Linked DNA regions of Oreochromis niloticus. The protein of the gene in region 1 purifies or fractionates together with the protein of each later gene. This does not show direct contact. Links are inferred from orthologs where the notes say so. Each region holds a gene or a part of one and is shown on either strand. Other genes may lie near its edges. The genes, in order: atad5a, rfc5 and WD repeat-containing protein 48.

Evidence for each region.
Region 2: the proteins of atad5a (region 1) and rfc5 purify together in Homo sapiens (affinity purification with mass spectrometry; 4 studies listed by BioGRID and IntAct, counting the BioPlex papers as one, with this or other methods). This does not show direct contact. The link is inferred for Oreochromis niloticus from reciprocal best matches to the Homo sapiens genes ATAD5 and RFC5.
Region 3: the proteins of atad5a (region 1) and WD repeat-containing protein 48 purify together in Homo sapiens (affinity purification with western blotting; 3 studies listed by BioGRID). This does not show direct contact. The link is inferred for Oreochromis niloticus from reciprocal best matches to the Homo sapiens genes ATAD5 and WDR48.

The regions. Positions count from the first base shown.
Region 1 is NC_031969.2:16,952,428-16,959,560, forward strand, and holds the start of atad5a (ATPase family AAA domain-containing protein 5), read left to right. Parts: upstream 1-4,085; 5' UTR 4,086-4,468; intron 4,469-5,616; 5' UTR 5,617-5,629; coding exon 5,630-5,680; intron 5,681-5,780; coding exon 5,781-7,133. Other genes in the region: GTPase IMAP family member 8, read right to left, coding at 409-1,131, 1,593-1,623. UniProt on the Homo sapiens protein: Has an important role in DNA replication and in maintaining genome integrity during replication stress.
Region 2 is NC_031977.2:30,124,937-30,132,040, forward strand, and holds the start of rfc5 (replication factor C subunit 5), read left to right. Parts: upstream 1-4,051; 5' UTR 4,052-4,196; coding exon 4,197-4,243; intron 4,244-4,781; coding exon 4,782-4,846; intron 4,847-5,159; coding exon 5,160-5,296; intron 5,297-5,404; coding exon 5,405-5,484; intron 5,485-5,607; coding exon 5,608-5,681; intron 5,682-6,183; coding exon 6,184-6,343; intron 6,344-6,978; coding exon 6,979-7,060; intron 7,061-7,104. Other genes in the region: ksr2 (kinase suppressor of Ras 2), read right to left, coding at 1,791-1,964. UniProt on the Homo sapiens protein: Subunit of the replication factor C (RFC) complex which acts during elongation of primed DNA templates by DNA polymerases delta and epsilon, and is necessary for ATP-dependent loading of proliferating cell nuclear antigen (PCNA) onto primed DNA.
Region 3 is NC_031982.2:7,359,903-7,366,965, forward strand, and holds the start of WD repeat-containing protein 48, read right to left. Parts: upstream 3,067-7,063; 5' UTR 2,983-3,066; coding exon 2,935-2,982; intron 2,212-2,934; coding exon 2,071-2,211; intron 1,936-2,070; coding exon 1,857-1,935; intron 1,775-1,856; coding exon 1,562-1,774; intron 1,395-1,561; coding exon 1,306-1,394; intron 284-1,305; coding exon 182-283; intron 103-181; coding exon 1-102. UniProt on the Homo sapiens protein: Regulator of deubiquitinating complexes, which acts as a strong activator of USP1, USP12 and USP46. Enhances the USP1-mediated deubiquitination of FANCD2; USP1 being almost inactive by itself.

The DNA.
Region 1 (7,133 bases):
CATCAAATTACATTTGATGGTTAGATAATGATGTGTGTCACATAGTTTATCAAGAGAGCTCCCCTTACTGCGAAAGCCATATTTGGCTGTGAGACATTACATCTACAAGGCAAATGGTTGTAGTTCATCTACAGTTTACAGTTACAGCACAATTTTATATTCATCATGTGGTCACTGAATATGGCACATCATCAACATCTTAGTATAAGTATTAATATTTTCTTTGACATTTTACTTTGGAGATTTATTAGCATTATTTATGTTAAAGAAATTGTTTTACAAAACTCTGTGATTCTGTGTTTGACCACAAACATCATACTGAAGCTGGATTCACCCATTCATTTCAAATGAAACCTTTTTTGCTATCATGGTGGGTATTTTGTAAAATGTGAGGCCTTTCTGACTCACCTTCAATTAGTGCTCTGAGTTTCCTTCTTTGTGTCTGCACCTCATCAAACCTCTTTGATGCTCTGTCACTTATTGCTTTCATTTCCTCCCTCAGAGCGTTTCCATGAGCACGATCAATGGGATAGTGACGGCCTCCGTTTGCAGCGACCATTGCCTCGATTTTCTCAAAAAGTGCTTCGACTTGACTGCTGTCCTCCCTGTTACTCACACAGAGGACATGTTTTCTGTTTCCACATTGCTCAAGAATCCACTGCATTTCTGACCACTCACTGATTGTAGTTTCTACATTTTTTTCATTCCATGGATATTGAGCAGTGAACAGCACGATGGTGTGATTCAACACATCCTTGTGGAAAAGTTTCAGGTGCTCTTTTAAAGATGACATGAAGATCTGGGGCAAGAAAAAGCTATGATGAAAGACCAGAAGAAAGGCGTGAGGTCCTGGGGGACACAGATGGACACTGTTCTGGATTTCTATCTGATCCAGCTTTGGGGTGTTTTCTAGTGGATAGTGCCACCACCAGCCTGGAGTATCCACCACAGTGACCCGTCTGCCATGAACCTCCTGCTGCCCCGCCACACTCTGGGCACTTCTTCTGCTGGTGTCAAAAACATTTTGACCCAGTATGATGTTGCCGCTCAGACTCCTATAACTGGGGTGTCCTGTTAATTCTCTGCCACCTATCAGCACGATCCTCAACTCTGGAGAGTCGTGACTGTGCCCTGCAACACAGATGCAGCATTGTTTACATACTGTAAAACTAGAAAAGTGTCTTCATACAGAATTTATGGACACGTTTGTGTAACTGCAAGTATTAGTAAGTAAAACTGTGAAAACAATGTGAATAGATAGCAGTGGTATGTTTGCTTAGTTTTTGTTCACCAGATTAAAAGCCAAGATGACAGAGGTGTGAAATAAAATGATGTCTTTTTTATATATATATATATATATACACACACAGAATAATCTGTAAATGATATCTCTGTTAAGCACTGAGTGAACACTGTGGAATTTAAGCACAATCAGAGATACAACACTGAGAGTCACTTTCCCTGTATGCAAAGACACCGCCAGTAACAACTGAGTCTGATTAAAAATGTGTTTCCTTGTTATGTTAACAAATAAATCAAAAGTCTTATATTCCATTTCTATATACAGGTTTTATGAACAGAATAATATTTACCAGAGCTGGGAACAGCACGCTCATCAGCCATTGTTTAACTAAAGTGACACAAAGAACAGGAAAGGCAGAACTAGTAGAACCAGTTTTGATAATCTACAAGCTGTTTTCTTAAGTCTTTTTAAAGGAGAAATACCAAATACTTACTTTAGAAATGTTTTGATATTCTTTTTAAAATCAGTTCAGGCAAACAGTGCTGTGGAGAAGTATTTGCCTCTTCCTCATTTTTTGGTTTTTGTTTTCATTCCATATTTGTTAAATGTTTCAGATCGTAAAATAAATGTTGATATTAGACTAAAGTAACATGATTAAAGACAACAGTGATTATTTAATTTATTATGGTAAGAAAGGTGTCCAATCCTACCTGGTCCTGTGCGACAAAGTGAGAGCTTAGTTCAGTTTCACTAACCACACCCAGGCCTGATTACTTCCAGACTTGCTGAATCAAGAAATCACCATAAGGAAGAGAAACTGTCTGACAAAGTGAAGTAGGCTAAAAGCTCTCAAACAGCACCACATATAATAACACAGTCTAAAGAAACAGCTGAGAAATAAAGTCATTGACATCTTTCAGTCTGGAAAGGGTTACAAAGTCAAAAGAGTCCTTATCGACAAATGGAGAAGATTTGGAGCATAAAAGATTTCATAAAAGAAATCAGAACTACATTTAAAGAACTGCCGGCCTCACTCACCTCAGTCAATGTCAGAGTTCGTGATTCAACAATAAGAAAAAGACTGTGAAAAATGGCGTCCATGGGAGAGCAAAAAGAACACAAAGGTTCGTATCATGCGCCCCAAAATATATTAAATAAAAAAATATTACATTAAAATTATATATATTATATATAAAGTAATATTCTGTGAACTGACGAGAAAAAAGATTCATTTTTTGGAAGTCAAACGTGGTGGTGGTAGTGTGATGGTCTGGCGCTTCTTTGCTGCACAAGGTAGAGGCTGCTTTGCAGTTTTTAGCAGAGACTTTTAGATATCCTTTATTTATCCGGGTAAAAAGTGTCATTGACATAAAAAATGTCTTTTTTTTAAAGAAAGTTCTGGCCAAGAGGGAAGCAGAAATTGTAAAAATAAATAAATAACAATAAACAGTTTTATAAACATACTTTAAGTGACTAAGAAGGAAAAGGTTGAATATAATATAATATAATATAATATAATATAATATAATATAATATAATATAATATAATATATATTAAAATGCAGAATCATAAACATATCTTTATTTTATATAACAGGGCAGTTGCCATTTCTTTAATGAGGAGGATGTGGACGTCCTGGAGAGGGAGGAACAGAGGGACAGAGAGTAACACAGGTCATTTACATGAAAGGGGGAAGATATCTAGGCCCCTTAAGTGTACCTCTATCTCCAACTTACAATGCTGTGATTGCGTCCATTCCCCAACTCTCTGAATGGTACTCATGGTCACTGATCAATGGTCATGACAGTTTAAATATAAACAATGATGAAACTGCCCATTGTTAGACATTGTTAGAAGTTTCACCTATTATGCAAATGTACTGTTTAAAAGGTTGGGGAAAGCTGCAGTCAGCTGAGAGTGAAGAAGTCACTTGGATGAGTACTGAAATGTTTCTTCCACTGAAAAAGTCCAGGAAAACAGGATCAACTTCTAGGTTTGTAATTTTTGTTTATTCTCTTTAGTGACAGGGTTTTTAAATCTGTGCTAATATTAGTGTTTTCTTGGAAAAACTTACTGACAGTGGAACAGTAGGCTGTGAAAGTCTGGGTGAATATAGTTATATAAATAAAGGAAGGAAACTTTGAAGTTAATTTGCCTTCTTTTGGTTGTATGGGTAGCAGGTTAGAGTGACGCTCAGTCGAGTCTGAAAAGACTGGATTAGCACCAAATATACCAAAGTGGACTGGTCTTTGTTCCTCGTGACTCAATCATTCTTTTCAGGTCATAGAATTGTTTTGCCTCTTCCTTATCCAGGTTAAATGAGCTTTGGTAACAGGGTTGTTGATATGTTTTTGGGGAAGAATAAAAACATTTATTATTCTTGATCTTTAACATATTAACATAACATTAAAATAACATGTGACGAAAAAATGGTGTAACAATATAAAAGACACAATTATAAAATGAATTGTAACTGTTTGACATGAAATGTGGTTATCAAGAAGTTGGGATAAAATTTAAAAAAAAAACAAAAAAAACAGCTTCTTGATCTATTTTGTATTTTAAATATTTTGGAACCATTTTTTTAACAACCAGCTTTAGCTTTTTCTCCCAATTTTTACACAAAAAATTATATTTTAATAGTTTTTACGTGGATGGATAGGAGATAAAATGTCCTGCAACTTAACTTACTTTATTTTGTGAAACGTGAAATGCTCACACTAGAGGGAGCTGTCGTTATTTTACCTCTCCGTTAAAGGTGACACCACACGCCATCTTTGTTATGGGCGGACTAGGACAGCTGATGACGGAGGGGTTTTCTTCCCTGTGATTGGTGGACTCGCGCCATGCCAAAGGTCGCGTATATTTCGCGCTCTTGATTCACAACCGAACTGGCGCGCTATTGAAACAGCCGCAGTATGTGAAGAAATACGAACCTTTGGTTCGTTTTCGGAGCAGTTCGGAAAATATCCGTGTAACATTTTAGCACTTTGCCTTCTTATGTCCTTGTCTGACACGCCGGGAAATGTTTGGAGCACTTCTGGGATCTGTGGGAAGCTTTTAGACTAGCATCTAGCGAAGACAGCTAGCTTGTTGTTTTACAGTAACACATTTCTTTTGGCACCAAACAGACTCACACGATGATTTTATGTTTAGTTGTTTGTTCACTCAGTCGTAGACGTGAATGACAAACCTTTGCAGCAAGTTCCGGTTCGGCTTCGTCGGTGAGTGTTTTCTTTGTTTACGTGGTTTCTCTCTCTTATGTCGCACAGAACTGGAAGTTCCTGGGCGCCATGTCAGGAAAAATATCATTTTACAGCTTAGTTGTTGTTTGCGAACATCATAAATAACACACATGTGAGCCTCGTGTTTATCAGCCTTTTCATACTGCCAGTGCTTCAGCAAAACTTCTACATGGCTGTCGTGACATTGACAAAAAGCGCTGACAGAACACCGCTTTAAAGAAAAGGAAAGGCTTTGTGTTATCACTTGTAAATACACTGTTCTCCTTTTTGTTAGTGTTAAAGTAATTATTAATATTTCTGAATGTAAATACCACACGCTTTTATCACAGTGTCAAAACATAATAAACGCTCGTAATCCGTACAACAAAATAAAAGGAAAACAGCAAAATCATCCAGAACATACCTGAATGCAAATGCATCATATAAAGTACAAATAACCTGCACATAGCTTTATTTTAATGGTTGATTTTCATTTTTCCCTTTTCTTTTCCCGTTATTATTTTTCCGGGTCCTTTTTTTCTTGCCACCAGTGTTGCCGCCTGGTTATTGTAGTGAATTTTTCCAATTCAGCGACTGATTGCAACTTGTGGTGACTAAAGATTGCCCACTCACGACCACTTTTGATTGCACAGGTTGTCTGGTAGGAGGCAACCTTTTTGCAGTCAGTCTGACTTTGACTGACTGCCATTACTCGTTAAAGGTTTGCAAGTAGTTACATCTAATTTATAAACATTGACTTATTGTTGGTTATTGTAAATATTGGATATTTACAAAGTTTAACTTTGAGGACATCATTTGCAGTTAACAAAAGGTTCAAAGATCCCAATATATGTTAATGAAATACTCGGCAAAAAAAAGAATCAAAAAGTATTGTGATAATATCGTATTATGGAGTGTCTGGTGTGTCCCACCTGTAGCTTGTAGTTATTATTTTCTCACAGAGGAGGAGAGAAAGCTCCTTGGCAGGAATCAGTATGAGGGAAAATTAGAAAATGTCAGGTGACAGGATGGCTGGGTCTCTGAGAAAAGGAAAGCAGTTAAACTTCCACCTGAATCTCTGATGTGTCTTTGCTGATCTGTTCTTCTGCGAGCTGTGTGTAACAGTGTTTTATTTATTTCTGCTTTAGGTCTCGTCAGATAATGGCTGGTGTTGTGGCTATGCCTTCTGTCATTGAGGACTTTGACAGCCAGGTGTGTTATGATACTGATTTGAGCAGCGCATCAAATGCACCAACTATTTTGAATTGCCTTGCATTTTTATCTCTGATTAAATTTGTCTTTCTTTTTACAGCCTTGCAAGAAATCTCGCAAAGATGGTGGCAGTCCTGTTGTCAAAACAATCACCAACTATTTCTCTCCTGTGCCTAAGCCTGTGGAGAAACCCTTCTCTCCTCCACGTTCCAACAACATCATGGACTACTTTAGCAAGAGGGCTCCATCCTGTAAAGAGAAATCCAGCTCACCAGAGCAAACTAAAGAAGTAGGGAGGCCTCACTCTGCAGAAAAACACACCAATCCGGAGACGGTGAAACAGCTGTCTCAGAAACGGGGTCGAAAAACCAGCAAAGCTGCAAGGAAACTTGTGGGGGCTGAAGGTGTCAGTTCCACCGAGGAGTCAAGTTGCGTGACTGTACAAGAATCGCATGAAAGCAAAGACCAGGCTGTAGATGCAGTTAAAAGTTTTGGAGTCCTTGGCAGCGATACAGCAGCTCTACTGGCCCAGCTTAGTGCTGAGAGCTGCATTCCTGCAGAAACATCAGAGAAACATGCCACTAAGATTATCACGGATGAGCAGGCTGAGAAAGCTGATCATCAGGAAGATGGTTCTAAATGTGTTGAACTTAAAACAGCACTAAACACTATTGAGTTGTCTCCAATTGTACCCTCAAAGTATGAAGCAAAACAGGTTAAAACCACACCACAAAATACCAGGAAGAGGCAGCAACAAGAGGCAAAGCAGTCAGAGCCAGAGGAGAAAGAAGCAGAAACTGAGAACTCTCTCCGTGATGTAAGCATGGAGGTCAATGTTGATGAGTCTTCTCAGTTGAACAGCAGCACAGTAAGAATCTCCTTTGAGGATTTTGTACGGAGTCAGAGTCAGGATGAGGCTGAAGAGGACAGAGAAGATGAAGAAGTAAAAGATGATGACTGTAAAATAACAAATGAGACAAAGGAAACAAACTCAGGTGAGCTGGATATTTCCAAATCTGAAGAAAACATGGTTCCTGAGGAGTTGCCATCATTTCAGGTTTCACCCCGAACTGTCACCATCCAGGCTCAAGTGCACGTCTCACCAAAACAAGAACCAAGCAAAGCGGTGGGAAAGTTGGCTTCCATCTTCAACCGGAAAAAAGGCGGGCGTAGTCCTGCAGAGAGATTCTCATCTTCTCACGCTGAGGCTGGACACCAGCTTCCTTCTCTGACTACCAAACGGAAATCCAACGTGGTTCTCCAGGAGGAGGATCTAGAGCTGGCAGTGCTTGAGAGCGAATCCATTCCTAAGTGCAGTGAAGTCGAGAGGAAGCAGTTCATGGCCGCTTTCAAGCAGCCCACTGCAGACGTCTCCAAATCCAAGCCTGTCAAGAGCCAAAGCAAGCAGAAGCAACCAGGAGAGAAAAGTTTGGATGCTGCTGAAGCTGAAACT
Region 2 (7,104 bases), on another chromosome or scaffold:
GATTACAACGCTATGCAGAAATGGCTTATACTACCCCTGTTGCTTGTTGCATTCCTGTTGAGTAGAACAAGTGATACAAACCACACTAACAAAGCAACAGCATAAAAACAGTGTGTAGCACCAGTAACATTTAAAATTTTGCAAGATCTCTTTAAGGTGGGAATATAAGTTTGTGCAAGCTGCACTTTGAAAACTCTTGTTTTAAAGGATAATGTCTCTCTCAAATTCAGTGTCAATATGAAAAATCTCTGTCTTTGTAATGTAACAACCTGTCTAACAGCCTGTGGAAGACTGAAGTTAAGCATAATTTTAAAATGACAGAGAAAGTGGTGTTTCTTGCACTCCAAATACAATCCTTTAACTCAGCTTCTGAGAGAAGATTATTTTTCCTTCAACTAACGTGTCCTTTTCATACAGGTATTAGCCATGCAGCACAGTTGCTACAAACATGCTAATAATGGATGCCAAAATTTTCTGAAAAGAACTGAACACATAGCTTGGGTATATCCTAACTTTTGGTTTAGGCAAATTAAAAAGGATATCCTTACCCTTCTTAAGTTTGGAGAAATAGGTCAAACCATGACACAATCAATAAAATCTTTCTGATAAATCCATTCACAAAAATTTGTCAGGCTAATTTTACTGGTGAAATAAAAATAATACCCCATAATGCTTATAACTAGTAATCCAGTACCGAAAGCGCTTTGCAAAGCATGCAGGGAACATAGTGAACACTTATCTTCACAGTGTAGCCTGCTCATTGCTGGCAGAGCATTTGCACTTTATATATTTAGTTATTTCTTCACTTGGATTACATTCCTGTCCCCTGTCCAGCACTTGCAAACTCCATTTAACAGCTCAGACATGAATACTTTGCAATATGTTTATGTGTTATGCACAGTCTCATATTCCTGTGGGGATGAGATTAAGTGTGTGCCACTCACAAGTGATTTCTTGGTATTTTGTTAACGTAGTATCTTAATTATTCTCCCACTAGGACTTAAAGTCTGTTGATGGCGCACACAAAGACTTAGTGGTGAGTTTATGGAGACCTTATCACTTAATGGTATTTGTTTCAATCTCATGAGACATCACAATAACATTCTTATAGGCCCTAAATGCCGTGCTGTGTCTGCAGTGCTCAATAGGCTATAGTGAGTTTGCAGTGAGCTTATCGCACTTTATGGCATCTTTATGTCCTGTAACAGCCTGTCAGTGGTAAGGGGTTTATTCGACTGGTCTAAGTAGTCTCAAAAAGGGCAGCCTGATATCTCAACACACAACATGACCATTACGTAACGCAATTTACGGAATACCCCACGGGCCAATTAACGGATAACGATATTTTGTAACAATTTCAGTAATCTGCCAGCCTTGCATAACGCAGGGCCTGGCTGCGAGAACAGATGCGCAGGCTGGCATATTGCTAATGGATTGTAAACACGGGCTGCCTATAGGCCTCGGCTGCCTCAGATATTATTCTGGTGGAGAAGAGCCACCTTCTCTCCCCGCCACCTGCAGAATGCGCAAGTCTATAACAGCTCACTGCAGCCCCTTGGCCTCTTGATTTATTGCACTGCACAAAACAGATAGCAGTGGGCTTTAGCTGAAATCGTTGCATATTTATGCAGTGGCAGCAGAAAAGCAGTCTGCCGTAGAAAAGACACATAAAAATTATGCATAGTGGCCTTGAAATAAATAACAAACGGCGGCAGCCCGCCACCCCCCCATATTGATTTGGATGTAGATGCACAGCAGAAATCCGATGATTCCGCTCAAAGGGTGCTTACCTCCAGCGTTCGTATCTCTTTTTGTGTCAAGTCGTTGGATGTGGCACATTTGGTCCGTAAACCCTCCAAACTAGAAATGCTTATGTCTATCATATTTTGCACCAACTCGCACTGCTGCAAGGCTTTCTGCAAACTAAGATGCTGCTCCTCGCTTTTTGTCATCTCCTCGTTCATAGTTTTGTGAACAGTGGACGTTTTTTTCCGCTGCACTTAACAAAAAAGGAATGAATTAATTCAAAAACAAGGGGAAAAAAATATTGATGATTATTCAAGAAAGGAGCGTGGTGAAACCCACGGAACGGAGCAACCTGCAAAACGCCATGAAACGAGATGTTGAAGGTTTAGAGACGGGCTTTGAGCCGTGAGAGAGTCGACTCCATTGCAACAACAGTCCTCGTAGTTCCTGCTGTTTCATCAAGGTGTCTCTGGTTGTGGGCTAAATCAAACACAGTATGAAGATACCAAGCGGGACTACGCGGTCTGCATCCATTGGGTTCCACTTCTTTCAAATGTATGTTTGAAAAAAAAAAGAAAAAGAAGAAGAAGAAGCTGTTCAGCGCACCATAAGTAGACGCGTCGGGGAAAAGCCTGCTGGTTTTAAAGGTGCTGATGTGCGGACTGGATGCAGGTACTCCCTGTCTCCCTAGGCAGCAGCTGCATCCCGGTTCTCTCCCACCACACCGACATGTTTCCTGTCAATCAAACCCACAGCAACAGCATCGCATCGCCCAGGCACCACCGTGAGGGGCCGTTCTCGCGAGATTACAGAGCAGGGCAGAGAGCTTAATATGCTTGAAACGCCAGGCTAGGGTTAGGGACAAAACTATCCCTCTTTACATGTTTGAAACAAAGATGTCCTTTTACTGAATATGTATGATTCTATTAGTTTATTACAGGCTCATGCTGTGTGCACTCACATCCAAGACACTTATATAGCCTGCAGTCAACAGCTACAAACACTTCAAAATATTTCTAGAAAATGATTTAAATATGCTTTAAAGTTAAATGGAAGAACAAATATTCTTTTCCATTGATTCGTGTGTGACATTTAATTTTTGGCCTAGTTAGACAACTCTGTACTATGCCTGATGATGTTTGCATGTGAGTGGAATCTTCTGTTTTTTATTGTGTGCCTTATCTCATTTCTTCTTCCTCTGTGCTCAGTTTTAATTTGCAGAAGAGATCTTGATCACAGTGAAGCTCCTCAGTTAGAATATAGGTTATAATGCAGACATTACAAATAGAAACTGGATTGTTCAAAAACAGCAATTGCAAAAAAAAAAAAATATATAAACCAAACATTAAGGATTGAATGCTGTCAAAATGCAGGCTGTGATATTAAATCATTATCCTTGACTGATGCAGTATAATGCAGCCTGGGAATCAGGATGCTTTGGAGGTTTCCAGCAACAAATCTGAGAAGTCAAGACGATTAAAGAGATAGGAGATGGTACACAAAATCTTGTGTACTTGTGTGCTCACAGCTTTTTTTCACTAACCCATGATGATCAAGAAAATGTTTCAGAGAAACCTGTTGTGTAAAGTATAAGGTTAGGTAATATTTCAAATTCAGGCTCTAGATAAATATATGGGCACACTGCACTTTTTGAGATATGGACAGATATGTGTATTTTACTGTCAGCACCATTACCAGAAGAAAATATTCCACATGTAACAGAAAATAAATGCAAAAAAATGTAGAAAACATTTCTGACACTCTTTGTCATGTTTTAAGATGGTTAAATATTAAAAGACTCTATTTTGCAAGAACAATTGTGAAGCTTACAAAGATAAACTATAATGAGATTAAGATGTCAGTGTCGTATAAAAGTGAACAAACTACATCTAAGAAGGAAAGGAGTAGACTTTATTTTATTTTTTTTAAAATTTAACAAGACGTTTAGTGCAAGTGACTTTTATTTTAAAAATCAAGATAGCCAGAATACTTTTTTTCTTTTGTTTAAATTGGTGATTCAGACTTCAGTACCATATGCCATCTTTAAAGACTTCTAGTTCTTGCTGTTGGATAAAAAAACAAAAAATCTACTGCTGAGTTTGATTTTCATTTTCACTGATTAAGGAAAGGAATTGTTCAAAATGGGAGAGACAATATTTAAAAATGAAAGAGGAGACATATACCTTCGTTTTTATGATGTTTGATATTGTGTATCTTTTATTGTTACAATTTCTAAATCCCGTTATTACTTTTTACAGAAGAGAACGAGTCACCGATACTCCGCCCATGAAAACGACAATGTGATTTCATTGGTTGTACGTGGTGACGTGTGACGTACGTTTTGTTTGCGGAGCGCGCCAAACAGGGCCATCAACAGTAGTAATCGCAGTGGCTTAAACTCTGGAACCCTTTAGCTCAGCTTGGCGTAAAATTCACGCTTGGTAGGATACATGGCTTCTACAAGTAAAGCGCCGCTACAGACCAGAAATTTACCATGGTGAGCTGAAAGTCGCTGTTTATCACAGAATGGTTCAAAAAGTTATTGCTAGCTAGCTAACATGCCTACTGTCAAGCTAGCTGCTCACTGCACTGAGTAGACTGATGCATTCTGTGAACTGATAGCTTTATGTACATTTAGAAATGACGTTAGTTATTACGCATATTTGTAAAATGGAAGGAAATGAACTTATCTTCAGTTCGGCTTACATAAATCTTATCAGTCCATCAAGCATTAACATGGTGCCACTTCAGCAACAGGTTAACCGAAAACCTGCAGCTTCTGACTGCGGTGAAAGTGCTGTAAGGTTGACGTTTTGTTTATAATAAAGGGTGATATTACGAAAAAAAATAAGGATGCCGAACTAAAAAGTGGGCATCTGTAATGGGATATGTCAACGTTTGTCAGCGCTTATCATATGTATCCGTAGACGTTTCAATAATTTGCTTTAAAATTCATTCGAGGTTGCTTATTTGCCATGCTGTAAACTCAGTAGTTATCGCAAGTATGAATGCGTGTGTGTGTTTTCCTGTTTCAGGGTTGAAAAATACAGACCACAGACACTTGATGATCTGATTTCACACAAAGATATTCTGAGCACTAGTAAGTATGTGGACTGCCAGAATAACAGTACTATAAAACTGTATAACATGACACTTATGGATAAGCAAACTACTTTTAAACCTTAATAAACTGATAAACTCAATGCTATCTGTCAGTGTTTTTGACTCCTGAGCTTGTTTACTGTGGTTATACCGTCACTGTCATTAATGAGTCATGGTACTGAGTCAACTTGCTTAAAACTTTTGTGTTTCAAATTTATAGAACTATTCAAGGGGGGTGCATATGTGGATTGTTAAAGAAACGTCGGTCACTTGTATTTAAACTGATTTTCATTTGTTCTTTTTATTTCCAGTCCAAAGGTTTATCAGTGAGGACAAGCTTCCGCACCTTTTGTTCTACGGCCCACCTGGAACGGGAAAAACCTCAACCATACTCGCTTGTGCCAGGCAGCTGTACAAAGAGAAGGAGTTCAACTCTATGGTGTTGGAGGTATGTTACAACTCCTCATTAGAAGATTTGGATTTGCTGAATTGTAAAGGTTTTTTAACTTGTAACTCTGCCATTTTACATTAAAATATAATTAATTTTGCTTTATAGCTCAATGCATCTGATGACAGAGGTATTGATGTAGTACGAGGTCCCATTCTGAGTTTTGCCAGCACCAGGACCATCTTCAAGTAAGACTAAAACACTTATAGAGATTTTGATCAGAAATAAGTGTTCTCAGTACTTTTACATGCAGTTAAGAAGTGCAGTGGAAATGTAAGCTGCTGCCTTTTTTTATTTATCTTGTCCTTCAGGAAGGGCTTCAAGTTGGTGATACTAGACGAGGCCGATGCCATGACCCAGGATGCCCAGAATGCATTGCGTCGAGGTAAGCCATCTGTTCGTTCAGGCACTACCCACTGTGAGGCACACGGCTCAGTGAGCAGGCAATTTGGCTGCTGCTGACTTACAGTGTATCTACTTTTAAACCTGGATATTTATTTAAAAAGCTTTGCTTTCCAGAAGAGTGGAAATAATTATTGAATTTAACTGTAAAATATTTTGTAAATTTAGTCCAACCTGTGTTTTTCTAATAATGTTTCCATATTTCATTTATAAAGCATCTATTGCTGTGCAGTGCTGTTTTATAGTTCTAAATAGATGCATGGTGAAGGAACAGTGGATGGTATTATTAGTATATTACTGTCAATTCTAAATTCTCAATGAGGTGGTTTACGAGTGTCCTGCACAATCTTAGCAACATTTAGCAAGTACTTAGGATAGATTATTCAAAAAAGTGGATTTTTTTTTTTTATTGACTAAGATGTTGCCAGAATTTACATTTTAAACTTGTTTCCCTGCTTTCATCCCACCCTTGCTCTCTGTCTCAGTCATTGAGAAGTTCACAGAAAACACTCGATTCTGTCTCATTTGCAACTACCTGTCCAAGATCATCCCCGCCCTGCAATCTCGCTGCACCAGGTTCCGCTTTGGTCCCCTTTCGCCAGACCAGATGATCCCTCGGTTGGAGCACGTTATCCAGCAGGAGAAGTGAGTTAATGTGTGAATGCTTTCTCTCCACTTACTGTTGTTTTTTTCGTTTTTGTTTTTACATCTCATTGAATTATTCCCAGAATTGCTAATGAACTTGACAAATGTATTTGTACCTGTTGGCCTCCACTGGGCTCCGCTAGTCTGCCTATAGTGAGAGAAATAATTATTTGATCCCCTGCTGAATTTATAAGTTTGTTCATTTCCTTCTAAATGAACATTCTCTATTTTTATGGTAGTTTAGAGACAGACATAATACCAACCACATTAAAGGTTGTTTAAAATCTAGAGTCTTTGTTCTTATGTTACGTTTCTGTTGGGTAATTTTTAGAAGTTTAGGGCTTCTCTGTGTGTTTGAAAACAGTTTAAATCAGGGGGCAACATCAACCCTGTCCTCTCAACTGTACCAAGCCCTGAAAAACCAACAAATACCACAATAGGAAATGAATTTTCTCATTGTTTCACATTTATTGGTACATGTAACTTGAGATGGAAGAAATTAATGAACGGACTTGGAACTATTTTTGATTGCTCTATTTATTAAATGTCATCAGTTATGTGTTCATGTCGCAAGTTTTAATTTAACTTTGATATGATTTAAAAATAGTTGATTATGTCATTACTTTTTGTGACAGTATTGACATCACGCCAGATGGAATGAAGGGTATCGTGACCTTATCAACAGGTGACATGAGAAGATCGCTCAACATACTGCAGGTATGGCCAGAAGTTCATCATCGGCTCTGTTTAAGATGTGGATG
Region 3 (7,063 bases), on another chromosome or scaffold:
CAGGGCCCACACCCCTTCGTCGTGCACACGGTAGGTGGCGATGCACCTCTGCTGGCCGAGGGACCAAAGGCGAATGGTCCCATCTGAACTGCCTGATAGGCACTGTGGGGAGGACCAGTGACTTTTAGATTCTGAAACTTTGCTCTTTGGCAGCCGCGGCATTTTAGATCATTTAACTCACCTGAGTGCCGTCTCGATTCAGCAGCAACGATTTGACGTTGTCCGTGTGACCTTTTAGCTTCATGAGCTTAGCGCACGTTCGAGGATCCCACACTCTCAGAACCTGAAGAAAGACACAAGAAGGGTAATGACAACAATCGTACTGGGCTAAAACAAAGCAAGGTACGCACTCAATTACACCATTCATGCATTTTCTTTATATTAAATTTTTGAAGCAGTCTTTATAGTTTATAATATCCACAGATTTGTGACAGCCTAATGGAAATGCTTTAAGCATATCTGAACAGAAACCAAAGGTCAGTGAAGAACTTGTATTATCACTTGCTTACAAATTCTTAAGAGAAGTTAGAGAGAGAAGTTTTCTTCTAATAGCCATTTTCCTGAAGCCATGTAACCTACATAGAGCTGAAGACTACAACTTAGAATATGAAAGAACTTTTTACTGTTTTGCGTTTTAAGAAATTAGTAAAAATAAGTTAACAAGGCAATTACTAGATTATAGTGTAGTAATTCATTCTCTACTGTTCAGGTTCAAGGTTTTGAAAAAACTGAACTCAGTGAATGGAAGAAGGCTAAAAAGGCTTTGTTAAGGCCTGAGGTTTATTTTGAAATCTGTCAACTAGACAAAACTGTGAAGCTACAATTTAACATCACAAATGATACCTGGATTACAGAGCAACGCTTAAACTATGCTTTGAAGTTTAAAAGGCAATAACAATTGTTCTTTATATCTTGACGCTGGTCTAAGCAACTTAGAGATCATGCCATGAAAACCTGAAATTTAACAAATTATACATCACCCCTAAGACAATTATGAGCATTTTAGGGACCCAAACAGGACTAAGAGATGTGTAATAATCCACAGAGACCCTAAAAACCAATTATAATCACTGAATGAGTTACCATTCAGTGATTATAATTGGTACCCGTGGCGCTCCTGAGAGCTGAGTTATTGAAGCTTAGAGTCCTTTTAAAAGTGATTGTAGTTAGAGAGACAGATTGTTGCTCAGTGAAGCTGTTTATGTCTCAGTATTTTCAAAAATGTAACACAACTGAAAGTTCGCATTTATTCCTTAGTGTAAACACTGGGCACTGTGTAAATCTGTCCATCTGTGTGTCACAAACCTTTTCTGTGGATCCTGATACAATAACCGTGCCCATCTGGTTCATAGCCAGACTGTAGATTGAGTCCTTGTTCCCACTCAGTGATGAAGCTGTTGGAGACAAAATATACTAAGTCCAAAGGTACAGACTGACTTTGACATAAACATATCAGTCATGCTAAATACAAATTACACTCAGTACAAATCACATCTAATCTAAGCTTCTGTCCAGAGGACAGAAATGGATACTAGTGTCAGACTGCAAAATCTTTACTTACTGGTGACAGTGTTGTTGGAAGCAGTGAGTGCTGTTAGTGTGTTCACATCCCAAAGAAAGATCTGCCTGTCCAGACCTGCTGATGCTACCAGCTCTTTGTCCTTAGCGTAAGCCAACGCTTTCACGTAGTCCTTATGTGTTCGTAACGTTGACATACAAAACCCTTTGTGTGCGTTCCATACTTTGACTGTTGTATCCGATGAGGCAGATATCACTGAAAGCAAATTTTTTTAATCAGAAACGGGGGGTTCAAAATAAAATGTTGGGTGAACTGAACAGCTTAAAAAAAACCTCACAAGTTTTTCCATTGCAACAGAGGACTATGTCATTAACCCAGTCTGTGTGATGCTCCATCGATGCAATGTACGGGTCCTGCTATGATAACAAGAGAGGACAAGGACAGTTAAGACGGTCTTAGGCATGGGATTTGAGAAATGCATACTAAAGCAGCTGCCTTATGTAAAATGAGTTGACTATTTTAGCATAATGGAGCAGGGCAAGAAGCTGTACTTTGTGCTGGTAGACGCTCCATATCCGGATGATGGAGTCCCTCCCTGCAGTGAAGAGCCGGTTCAGAGCAGGGTCGAGCTGGAGTGCATTCACCCCGTTTCGATTGTACTTCTCCACCTCATCTCTAATGACATATGATACCTGGAACACAGAGAGGAGAATGGGCGCTGGGCTCAGACTCCTAATCTCGACCTGTTTTGCTTTGGCCCACACAACACACCCACCCAACACACCCACCCTTTAAGCTCTAACGTGCTAACACTTGTATAACGTGAACTTGCACTCCAAGGACCTGCAGAGTTAACGAGACAAACACAGAGCTTAACTAAATGTCACACACACTGGCATATAGTGCAAACCGGTTTCACTTTAACAACAAGGAAAGTGCATAATTTTAATGTTTATTTTTACGGCAGCTGAGCATACTGGCAACGGTTCACGACAGACCTGCCTGGACGCGTACGTTTCACTAGCAATTAGACGGAGCCCGGATACAGTAGCTAGCTTAGCTTCCGTCAACGCCGTAACAGCTTCAAACGGCAACCAAGGAGGGGTGTTATTATTTTGTACTGACAGGCGATATCTGTAGTCATCTTATAAAGTATTTTACACTTGCTCGTATGAAAAAAATGTTTGCAAAAGCATGTAATCATTTGGAAGCGACCGTTAGCACATGACGCTAACACCTCACGTATGCTAAGCTAGATAGGTTAGCCGGCTTGAGTCATGACACCTAACTGCAACGCTATCTTGTGCTGGTGTCTTTTACTCCCTATCGGGTGTTTGTGAAGAACCTCTTTAAGCTGGAGGCCCCGATGTTGCCGTTGTCACAAATTTACCAATAATGTAACGCCTCTAATTTACCTGTACTTTCCTCCGCCCAGCAGCATTTTGCCTGTGATGCGTGGCCATCTTGCATGTTGACAGTCAATTCATGTGATGCTACATCCGGAAAAAAAGAAAACATATGTACCTGGGCTTTCTGGGTAATGTGGTTCTACACGTTCCTAAAATTTTAACGTTAAAGGATTTTATTTTATTTATTTTTTTTGTCTTTCCCCACCACTCAATCCTGGGGATTTGTTCACTGGCGCAGTGGTGCTGTTTTGTAATACAACACCTTTGGGTATCAATCAATGTAATAATGTAATAATCAATGTAACGTAATTTATGTATTTTAAAACTAGTTTTTTGTTTTGTTTTTGGTTTTTTGAAGACATGGAATCTAAATACGTCTGTCTGTAAAGCACTTTGGGTCAACTTCTATTGTTCAAATGCGCTACTATAATTAAAACATATGTGACAGTCAACACAAAAAAGGTACTGAGACATTTTTCATAGTGCGTGTTTGATATAGCTATAATTGTTCATGAAATAATTCAGTGGGGTATATAGGGGAAAGAAAGAAGGTACCAGTTTCAATACCGTCAATATTTATATTGATCCGAGCGCCTGTATGGCACAGTGATTGGCACATCCGCGCAGTTCACCATGATGCACGCTGGACAATCGTTATGGCTGTATTATTATATAATATGCAAATATAAACATCTGTTTATATGGTCGCAGAGGAGGATTAACACAAGACCGTCCAACCGTCCAATGTTCACATTTCAAATTTCTGGGAAAACATTTGTCTAGTTTATATCTCAACCTTGAAGTGTATTTCTGCTGTGCCATAGCTATTTTGAAAAACATATCTGGGTAAACTATTTAGCAGGCCTTTTATCTTTTATTAGAATAATTTAGAAATAAGCTTAAAATATGTTCCGCCTCCCTCTATACCTTAATACACAAAATGTGATGTATGAATCCTGATGAGACAGCATTTCGGTCTATCAATCTGCGCATGTTCTGAAAATAAGAATTCTTGCTGCTCCATACAAATAGAAAGTCTATTACCGGACACTAGAGGGGGTAATACACTATCATGAGCTGCACAGGAAGTCCAAACCTCCCGGCTCTATTGGAAAGACAGAATAAAAGTCTGAGGACCGGTGGTGTGAAATCACGTCTTTTTAAGGGTTCACTCGTGCGAATCAGGTTTTGATTCCAAACCAAATCAGCTCACTGTAGGGTGCATGCAGTGAACTCGGGCTCTGGCTGTTCTTCACGGGTGTGCATGCCTCTGGTTGGTACGTTAAACCAAACAAAAGTGTTTAAAACCCGGCACGTGAAATGTGGGCTACTGTCGATTGAATACGAAAGCAGCCTCTGGTAGGAGCGTTTCCCACACACACCTTTTACAGAAATAAACTTTGAGCTTCTTCATAGTCCTCGGACTAAGGCATACTTGGTGATGTGGCAAAAGCGCAGCACACACTATGCCTGAGAGCGCCATGGGACGCCTATAGCGCGGTAATCCTCTGTGGCCCAACAGCAATCCCCCCCCTCCCTCATGCTCTCTTGCTCAAGGGCAAATCGAGACAGCGCAGCATCCTCCACGCTCAGCAGCCGGAGACTTTTCCTTCATGGGATGAAAACCGACGGGCCTCACGAATGGAAGGCAAGAGGACGAAGTTTTACTTACACCGCACCTGTGACAGCTTTCAAAATGTCCAAAATAGGGTGACTGCAGACCTCTGGCGCTTACCAAGAAGTCAGTTTTGACCGCTTTTCTCTGGATTCTGGTGACACTTTTCTTCCCCCTGGGCTGGAGTTTGGATCCACGATGAGGCGAAGTGAGCCTTGAAAAGAAAACATGGATTTTGCACGGAAGGTTTGGTTGTTTCTTCTTCTAAAACCCGAAGAACTTCATTCTGGAAACGATGCTGTAAAACTCACAGTTTCACATGTAAGTATATTCTGCACGGAATCCTCATGTGGCCGCAAAAACATGTAGCAGAAAATGATTGGCACGACTTCTTGGCTGTTTGTTTTCTCCTTTTGTTTTTAATTTTTTTATTGTATTCGCCTAAAGACAGTATGTTAACGGAGAACCTCTCATTACTTCATCAAATAAGTGTTCAGTTTCAAAAAGCTTTAGGATTAAGCTTCCTTTGGAAATTCACTTTAACGAGGTCAATGTTTCATTTGCCTTCTTATCTCCTGAAATATGAAGTGAAAAGACATTTAATGTAATGATATCCGAGGCTGTGATTATTACACATGTCATCCATGACATCACAAACCACATTTTGAAAGAAAATCTCAACAATCTTCATGTTTAATGTGACTCATGTAACTTTTGATAAGTTGTAATATTCATTTTTTTTAAAGTAATATTTGAACACTGGCAACTGGGATTCATACTCAGTTCATTATCAGCCACTGGTTTTATTAGTGGATCATTTTACCACTGTCTATATTTTTATATGCGTGTACTTTCTGTATGCTTGGCGTTTAAGTTATCTTCTGCAATTACATTGAAAGGTTTCTGCCAAAGAAGTAGGTCATCAGTTCAGGCTTTGCACCTCAGATCACAGTATGAAGCTCTGAGGGGGAGAAGGACACATAACATGGCGATGAAGAACATACAGAAGGCCCAGTTAGACTAGACGCCCAGAAAAGTATGAAAAAAAGTTGGACTCATTCCTAAACTTTTTAATAATGTTTTTAGTGTAATTTTTAATATTTCGATTGCAACATACAGCATTGTTTAATAACGCAGTAAGAAAGCAGTCTTTAGTTAAACAAATCATTTGAGTATCTGTAGTTGATAGAATTAAATAGACCATTGTATAAACACACACACACACATATAAGGAAGCATAAAGAGCTCTGTCATCGTTATAGAGCTGAAAACTACAGGTTAGAATATGAAAAGAAAAACTATCTGTAGGTTTTGAGTTAATATAAGAAAATAAGTTAGAAATGAGTTAACAACCAGATAGTGAGAGCTATCGCCTGATAAGAACTTTGTTTCCTGTTAAAACAATCTTAAAATAAAAGATGATGGAATAGATAGCAGCAGTACAAAGTCCTGCCGTAGTCTCATAAAAGATGGGGGGAAAAACAATAGTCTTCTGTGACTCCATAAGGAACTCTGCCATGTCTAATAGTCATGTTACTCCATTCATATAGGTTATAGAGCTGAAGACTACAAGTTAGAATCTGAAAGAAGCTAATACACTGTGACGTTGACTATAGTGTAGTAATTCATTCTCTACTGTTCAGGTTCAAGGTTTTCAGTTCAGTTCAGTTCATTTTTATTTCAAACATATACATTCACCAACATTTCATAAAATCATTCCATGCAGTTGTTTGAAAAGGAGTAGGCAGAAGTATATACTTATTTAGCCCTACCCCCTGAGGTTTACATCCTCATCATCTAAATTTGAACAACAAAAACGTTTACAATGCCTTCAACTTAGAACATAATAACATCAAAAAAATAATATGTATATATACATATATATATATATATATATATATATATATATATATATATATATATATATATATATATATATATATATATATATATATATATATATATATTTTCTCCTGTTCAGCTAAAACTATATTTAGATTTGCTAATTTGTAGAAGAAAATAAACATCAGTTTGACTGCTGTCTTGGGTTAATTGCAATTTCTTCATTCTTATACTTTTAAAAAACTGAACTCAGAAAATGGAAGAAGGCTAAAAAAGGCTTGATTAAGGCATATATAGAAGGTTTATATGGAAATCTGTCAACTAGACAAAACTGTGAGCTACAATCTAAGATCACAAAAAATACCTGGATTACAGAGCAACAAAATGTATCTAAATACATTTGTCGCATAATAATAGTTCTTCGTTGGTCTAAGCAACTTAGAGATTGTGCCATAAAAATCTGAAACTGAACAATCGAATATAGTTACAATTACCAAGTAAGCTGTGAGAAGATTCACAGCTTACTTGTTTTGAACTATAGAATAAGACAGTATTTTCCATTTATTTTAGGTAAGCCACACATTCCATCACCCTACATTTTATACGTTTAGATATTTTATATTTTCTAAAATGTTTCACTTTTAATGAGAGAAAAATTAGTTAATTATGAGCACTTTA